Linked DNA regions of Canis lupus familiaris. The protein of the gene in region 1 purifies or fractionates together with the protein of each later gene. This does not show direct contact. Links are inferred from orthologs where the notes say so. Each region holds a gene or a part of one and is shown on either strand. Other genes may lie near its edges.

What was found.
Region 2: the proteins of KLF6 (region 1) and SP1 purify together in Homo sapiens (affinity purification with western blotting, with the first as the bait; 3 studies listed by BioGRID). This does not show direct contact. The link is inferred for Canis lupus familiaris from reciprocal best matches to the Homo sapiens genes KLF6 and SP1.

What each region holds. Positions count from the first base shown.
Region 1 is NC_049223.1:30,691,679-30,695,491, reverse strand, and holds part of KLF6 (Krueppel-like factor 6), read right to left. Parts: intron 3,187-3,813; coding exon 2,613-3,186; intron 1,206-2,612; coding exon 1,082-1,205; intron 224-1,081; coding exon 172-223; 3' UTR 1-171.
Region 2 is NC_049248.1:44,843,491-44,847,147, reverse strand, and holds part of SP1 (transcription factor Sp1), read right to left. Parts: intron 2,642-3,657; coding exon 2,442-2,641; intron 1,999-2,441; coding exon 1,685-1,998; 3' UTR 1-1,684. UniProt on the Homo sapiens protein: Transcription factor that can activate or repress transcription in response to physiological and pathological stimuli.

The DNA.
Region 1 (3,813 bases):
CGCTCCGACACGACGGTTTTCGCCCTCGAAAGACCTTCCAAGTAGAGGTCCTGGAGGCAAACTGGGTGGGGTGCGAAAATGGCATGCTTTGGCTGGAACGCGCACCCTCCTTCCACGGCTGTCTCTCAGCCCGGAAGCCTTTTAGCCCGCAGGATTCGCTGCTCTGCTCCCTCACAGGTGCCTCTTCATGTGGAGGGCCAGGTGGTCAGACCTGGAGAAACACCTGCAGGGCAAAGAGGCATCCCACACGTTAGGTCTCCCGCCTTCACAGAGGTTACAGACCCTGTGGCCTGCGCTCCTCCACCCCCAACCCCTCCAGAGGGAAGGTGGGACTCCATGGCCTTCAGGGAGGTTACAGACCCTCTGGCCTGCATGCCCTGACCCCAACCCCTCTAGAAGGGAACGTGGGACTCCGTGGCCTTCAGGGAGGTTACAGACCCCCTGGCCTGTGCTTCCTAACCCCAACCCCTCTAGAAGGAAAGGTGGGACTCCATGGCCTTCAGGGAGGTTACAGACCCCTCCGGCCTGAGCGCCCCGACCCCAATCCCTTCAGAGGGAAGGTGGGACTCAATGGCCTTCATGGAGGTTACAGACTCCCCTGGCCTGTCCTCCCCAACCGCATTCCCTCTAGAAGGGAAGGTGAGACTCTATGGCTTTCACAGAGGTTACAGACCCCTGGCCTATGCTTCCTAACCCCAACCCCTCTCCAAGGGAAGGGAGGTCTGCTCCGAGTCCCAGCCAGCTGGCCAGTCGGTTTTCTGGGGCAGGAAAATTCTAGCTGATGGGAATATACATCGAGGACGCCAATCAGCTTTCAGGAGAATTTCGCCTGACCTCATCATTCAACCATTGGAAGGACTGAAAGCCAGCCTTCTGAAAATATGAAGGAAATGCCTGTAGTCTCACGCACACAGAGCACAGGTCTCCCTAACTGGGGCAGCTGGCAGATTACAGACTCTCTCAAAAAGTCCGAGGCCGAGAAGAGGCGTGCGGGCATGGGACGGGCCACCCTGCCTTCCTCACTGCAGGCCTGTGCCTCTCCGGGGACGGCATTCGGCGCCCCTACGCTTTGTGCACGTACCTGTCACAGTGAGAACATTTAAAAGGCTTGGCACCAGTGTGCTTTCTGAAGTGTCTGGTTAACTCATCGCTTCTTGCAAAACGCCACTCACACCCTTCCCATGAGCATCTGTAAGGCTTTTCTCCTGGGAAGAGAGCACACGACAGGCACACCGTGACTTCGCTGAGGAGGAGGAGGTGTGCAGGGACAGGACGGGGAAGCAGCTGGACAAAGTGGACTCATCCGCGAGCTTGGGGGCCCGGCCTCGGCCCCCCGTGTCACGCCCCAGTGAAGGGCCGGGCGGGCACTCTGGGGGACACCCCGGGGTCCCTTCCTGACCTGGCCTGGGGCCCCCGAGGGCTGTGCAGGGGACCCAGGCCGGGCAGGGCCCACGTGACCAGTAATCAGAGTTACAGCGTAAGAATGACAAATACTCAGACTGGCGAAATACTTCTGAGGTGACGTGTCAGCCCACTGGACCCACAGCCCTGGCGGGGGCAGGGTTTTATTGCTTTCTCCATGGAAACGGTCTCTCTCAAGCACTTACTTTGTTCCTTCCTCACTTCCCTATGGAATGAGGCTTTGTACTTTCCTCCGGGAAACGGCATTTCTCTAAAACTGAGGTCATGAGTTTCTGGGAAACCCCATCCGAAGGCCTTCAAAGCACTTTCTAAATGACAATCAAATGGCCAAACTGACTGCTCCCGGTCGGTCAGAGGATACACACGAACTTAGCTAAAAGTGCTACCCAAGGCCATTCAAGATTTGGCCTCTGCCCGTCCTCGAGCGAGCCGTCGGGGCAGACGGGGACCGGGGTCCTGACGCCAGCAACGCCGGGGACCCTGACCTGAGGGCTCCAGCGTCCCCTCTCGGCCCTGGGGCAGGCCAGAACTTACGGTGACCCCCTCGGCCAGAGCCCCCCTTGCCCTGTGCCCCGGGGACTTTGGGCTTCTGCACCCAGCTGGCCCGGCGTAGAGAACACATGGTCATGCTCCCTTATCTGACCCACCCCAGTCCTTTCAAACGGGGTTTCATCCCAGTCGTGCACTTTGATCGCAAAGTTGTTTGTTTGTTTTTGTTTTTTAAACTGGCATCAGAAACAGAGGCCGCGGGAGACACGGGGAAGCTCCTGGGAAGCGGCCAGGGGCCAGCACATGGGTCCAGCTGCCACCCCTCAGCCCCGCGGACGCCCCCGCCCCCAACCCTCGAGTTCCAGTACAGAAAACCGGAGGCAAGTCCCCGCCACGTGATGCCCGGGCACGCGGGCGATCCCATCCCCGGGAAGGTCGGAGTGAGTGAGGGGTGGGGTGGGGGCGGAGAATGGATTTACCTCGTCTGTTTAATCTGAAAGTCTCACCCGATCCGGGCACACACGTCCAGTCTTTCAGCTCCTACTCTGTCCTCCCCAGAGACCCAACTCTTTTGGGGAAGCATGAGGTGAGGATGTGTCTGCTCTGCCAGCCTCCGGCCGAGCCCCGGCCCCCTCCCAGGGCTGGTGCGATGCAGTGGCGCCCACCAGCGGCCCACCTCCCGCGTCGCAGGAGGGACTGACCTGTGTGAGTGCGCTGATGTGCTTTCAAGTGGGAGCTTTTGGTGTAAACTTTCCTGCAGCCGTTAAAGTGGCAGCGATGCACCCGCCTCCGGCCATCCGGGGAGGCGTCCCCGCTGCCCTTGTCACCGGGCTTCCCCGCAGTCCCTCCGCGCACCTTCCCGGGGGGGTGCAGCTCGCCGGGCACGCAGCCCCACAGGTGAGAGGGCTCCCTGCTCAGTTCCGGGGACGACGGGGGCGTGGAGGTGGCCGACGAGCTCAGGGTCCCCGAGTTGACTAAGACTTCGCCAATGGGGTCGGAGGTAAATTTAGTGGTGGGAGAAAGTTCCTCGGAGCTGTCGGAGGACTCGCTGCTCACGTCGGAGTTCAGGCTGTTGGTCTCCAGGTTGTAAGCAAAGCCGGGGCTGTTCAGAGCATCCTCGGGGGGGCTGGAGGAAAGCTTCAGGTCCGGGTCCTCCTTTTTCTCCCGAGCCAGGATGATTTTGGTCCACAGATCCTCCTGGCTGTCGAACTTGATTTCGGAGGCTGACACATAGCAGGGTTCGCTCTGGAGGTAGCGTTCCAACTCCAGGCAGGTCTGTGCGGAAGGAACCACAAGAAGACACGTGATCGTGATGACAACGAACCGTGTAACCGAAAAGAAAAAAAAAAAAAAAGCACATTTCCAAAAACATGCAGGAATCAAGGGCAAACAGACTGTGGCCGTGGAGCTGGCTGCACCATCGCGTCTCTAGGAGAGCGAGGGGAAAGCGGTTTCTAGGAATGGAGGCGCTTTCCGGAGAAGGGCCCCCGCAGGCCGGACCAGTGGCCACAAGGGCTGCCGGTCACTGGGCTGTCTTTGCCTTGGTTACCAGCAGTGACGTGACTACCGAGTTTCTGTAAACCACACAGGGAACACCGGCCTCAGGCACGTGCTCCCGAGACGGGCTTAAGCAGATGACCTGACAGTCTCGAGAGACATCCCTGCGCATCAAGGAAGGCTCGGGCCACCCTCCTCGGTGGCGCACGAGACAGAGAGGCCGCGGTGCACGCGAGGCAACGTGCCGTGACATTGCATGGGTCTTTCTTTAGAGACACGGGGGCCGGGAGCCCGGGGCCACACTCGGCGAGCGGACGCAGCGAGCTGATGGTCTGTGTTCAGGGACCCCGGGGAGCGGCGGGTAAACCAGCCCCGGCTCCCGTAGGGCCCCGACCCAGGAGGCTT
Region 2 (3,657 bases), on another chromosome or scaffold:
GCCATTTCCACACTTCCTCACAGTGAAAAGCTCTCTGACAGGATACCAGAAGGTCAAGAGAGACAACGTTTTAATGGCTGGGCCTTGAGGACAACTCTGGTTGCATTTAAATCTCAGTGCCAAATGCACTAAGAGTTCCCTGCCGCTATAATTTTTGGATCAGTCTCTTCAGGAATCAGGCCATGGAGAAAGCAGGATGGTGTCTCCCGATCTCTCTTATAAACCACAGTGGTAAGACAAGATTTCTTTTTGTTCTGGGCTATCACTCCCATGATCGTGTGCTTCCTTTTCCCTCAGGAACCACCCAAGGAAGAGTTAAGGGAAAAGGTCAAAGAACCTCTGCCTTGCCACTAGTACATGCTCTGGAGTTCTGCGGAATGGAAACCCGAACAGATTCATTGGCTGATGTTCCTTAATAACATGAGAAAGAAACTACTGGGGATGTTCAAAAGAGGAAGTGCATTTCCTTTCAGAATATGACCTCAGAAACCCATACACCAAAGCTCAGAGCTACTTTGGAAGACAGCTGTACAAATGTCCAAATACTCTACTAACTCCTGAACTGGACTACTCTGAGTCACTTCCACTTCTGAGCACATCATTTTCCTATTGAAAGCCCCTAGCTTTTACTTGACCATTTTTGACAATTTATACAAACTGATCCCAGATTATATAACCTTTAAAGGGTCTTTTGTACAATTCCATAGAAAGACGTCTGACTCTTGATGCTTAGAGCAGCTAATGAGGAGAGGTGCCTTGGACTCTCCAGCGCCAAGAGGGTGCCTGCGTCAGTAGTATTTTGAACACTCTCTCCACAGCTAACTCAAGCATCAGCCTGGGCTTCAAGGCTCTCTCCACTCTGCTGCTAGGACCAAGGACCTTAAAAGATTGACAGAAGTGCCTCATCCAGGGATCATTATCAAAACCAAAACATGAAGTGATCAGGTGAGAGAAAGGGAGACAGAAAGGTTGAGTCAAGAAAAGAGTACAAGAAGCTGATCCCAAATAAAAAGACAAAATTAAGAAAAAACATTATGTATGTATATATAAACTAAAAGCAGAGCATATGAACGCTTAATCTGGTGGGAAGCCAAGACAACATCTATAGAAAAGCTTGATGTGTCACAACAAGGCTCAGCCATAGGGAAATAAGGCAATATAAAAAAATGACCAAGGTATTTTTGGTCACAGAATGGTCTCCTTCCTCCTCCCAGCCAACCCCTGCAAATGCATCTCTATATATCTTTTATATATATATATATATATATATATATAATATAGAATCTGGTTTTTTTTTTGTTAAAAAGTATTTCAATGATCATATATATTTATCAAGGCATGATGGCTTTAGGAAAGGGGGGATCCATCATGGGGGAGCTGAGAAGGGAAATGCAAGAAGGGAAAGCTGGGGAAAGAAGTGTAAGAAACTGTGTGGGGTCAAACAAATGCTCATAAAGGGTGGCACCAACAGAATTTTCAATAACGTTTCTCACTTCAGGAGGTACTGATGATAATAGATGGATGCCAGGACCCCATCTCTTGTATCCCTCCCCCAATTCTTCCCACCACCATGCATTTTAATGCCTCATGGCTCTCTCTCCCACATGTCTCTTGGACCCATGCTACCTTGTATCCCAGGGTTGATGGGTATGGCCCATATGTCTCTGGCCCCGGGTGCCTGATCTCAGAAGCCATTGCCACTGATATTAATGGACTGCAGATCTGCCACCTGCATGACGTTGATGCCACTGTTGGCAAGACGGGCAATACCCTCTGGACAGATGGCCTCCATGGCTACCATATTGGTGGTAATAAGGGCTGAAGGGGTAGCAGTGCCGCTGCCTTCTGAACCTGCCCCACTGTCCAGGGGCAAAGTGCCCACACTCAGGGATACACCTGGGCCTCCCTTCTTATTCTGGTGGGTCTTGATATGCTTTGACAGGTGGTCACTCCTCATGAAGCGCTTGGGACACTCAGGGCAGGCAAATTTCTTCTCACCTTGGTAAAAGAGAAAGAAGACAAGAAATGAACATCTTACGAAGTAGGGTTACCTTGTCCAATTTACTGCTTTCAAACTATATGGGACAGAATATTAGTCTTAGAAGGTAATAAAAACAAGAAAAATCTGGTATCTTTTTCTTTTTGAGAGAGTGGGGGCAGAAAAATAGGTAAAGGTCAAAGAGTACTAGAAAGGAAGGACTACAGTAGAAAAGTAAGGTAGGACCGAGAAGAATAATGGGGCCATGGTCCTCCTTTAAAATCCCACTGAACACCTAGCTCCTTCCTTCTGAAAGGTTTTCCAGATAAACTCCAATTCGAATCATTTATGTTCCATATATTCACTTTCAAACTTAATTACTCAGAAATTTAATTATTTCATAGATATATTTTGTGTCTTTTTATGCTATTACTATTTCTTTCCTCCCGGGGCTCCTTCTCACCTGTATGTGTGCGTTTGTGTCTTTGTAGTTCATCCGAACGTGTAAAGCGTTTCCCACAGTATGACCAGGTACACATGAATGGCCTCTCGCCTGTATGCCAACGCAAGTGTGCCCGTAGGTGTGAGGTCTTGCCATATACTTTGCCACACCCTTGGATGTGGCAAATGTGCTGTTTCTTTTTGCCGGGATCCCCAGAGCCTCTGAAAATAAGAACACAACTATTCATAATGCATTCTAGAGACAAGAATTAAAGAACCCCAAAATGTTAACATTTATTACCTGACCCACTCAAAACTAACCCAAATTTCTATTTAAAAACAAACACTTCTCTTGGGGCACCTGGTGGGCTCAGTCAATAGAGCAAGCAACTCTTAATCCTGCTGTCATGAGTTCAAGCCCCATGTTGGGGGTGGAGGGAGAGAGGGAAGGAGGGAGGGCAGGCTTCTCTTTAGTACCAAAATATCAATCTTTAGGGGTGCCTGGGTGGCTCAGTCAGTTAAGCATCTGATTCTTGATATAGGCTCAGGTCATGATCTTGGGGTCATGTGACTGAGTCCCATGCTGGGCTCTACGCTCAGCATGGAATATGCTTGAAATTCTCTCTCTCCCTCAACCTTTCCCCTACCCCTGCTCGTACCCTCTAAATAAATAAATAAAACAAAGACATAGATCTTTAGTTGATGCTGATTCTTAATACCCCAAATTCAAGTTTTAAATTTTTTCTCTACTGGATATTTACTATTTCCTGTTTTTCTATTCCTTAATCAATTCTGATGTTTGATGTATGAAGAGATAATTGCTCTCCGGATGACTTGTGAAGTCTGTGAGGCTTCTTGTATTTTTCACAAAGTTTGTCTTAATACAAGCATTTCCTTCCTCCCTCCCTCCCTTCTTTTCCTTTTCTTCTTTCTTCCTTTCTTTTTTCTCTTAAGATTTTATTTATTCATTCATGAGAGACACAAAGAGGGGCAGAGACTCAGGCAGAGGGAGAAGCAGGGAGCCAGATGTAGGACTTGATCCCAGGACCCTAGGATCATGACCTGAGCCAAAGGCAGACGCTCAACTAATGAGCCACCCAGATGCCCCCAAGCATGTTCTTTTTCTTTTTTTTCTTCAAGATTTTATTTATCTATTCATGAGAGACACAGAGAGTGAGGCAGAGACACAGGCAGAGGGAGAAGCAGACTCCCTGCAGGGAGCCTAATGATGTGGGACT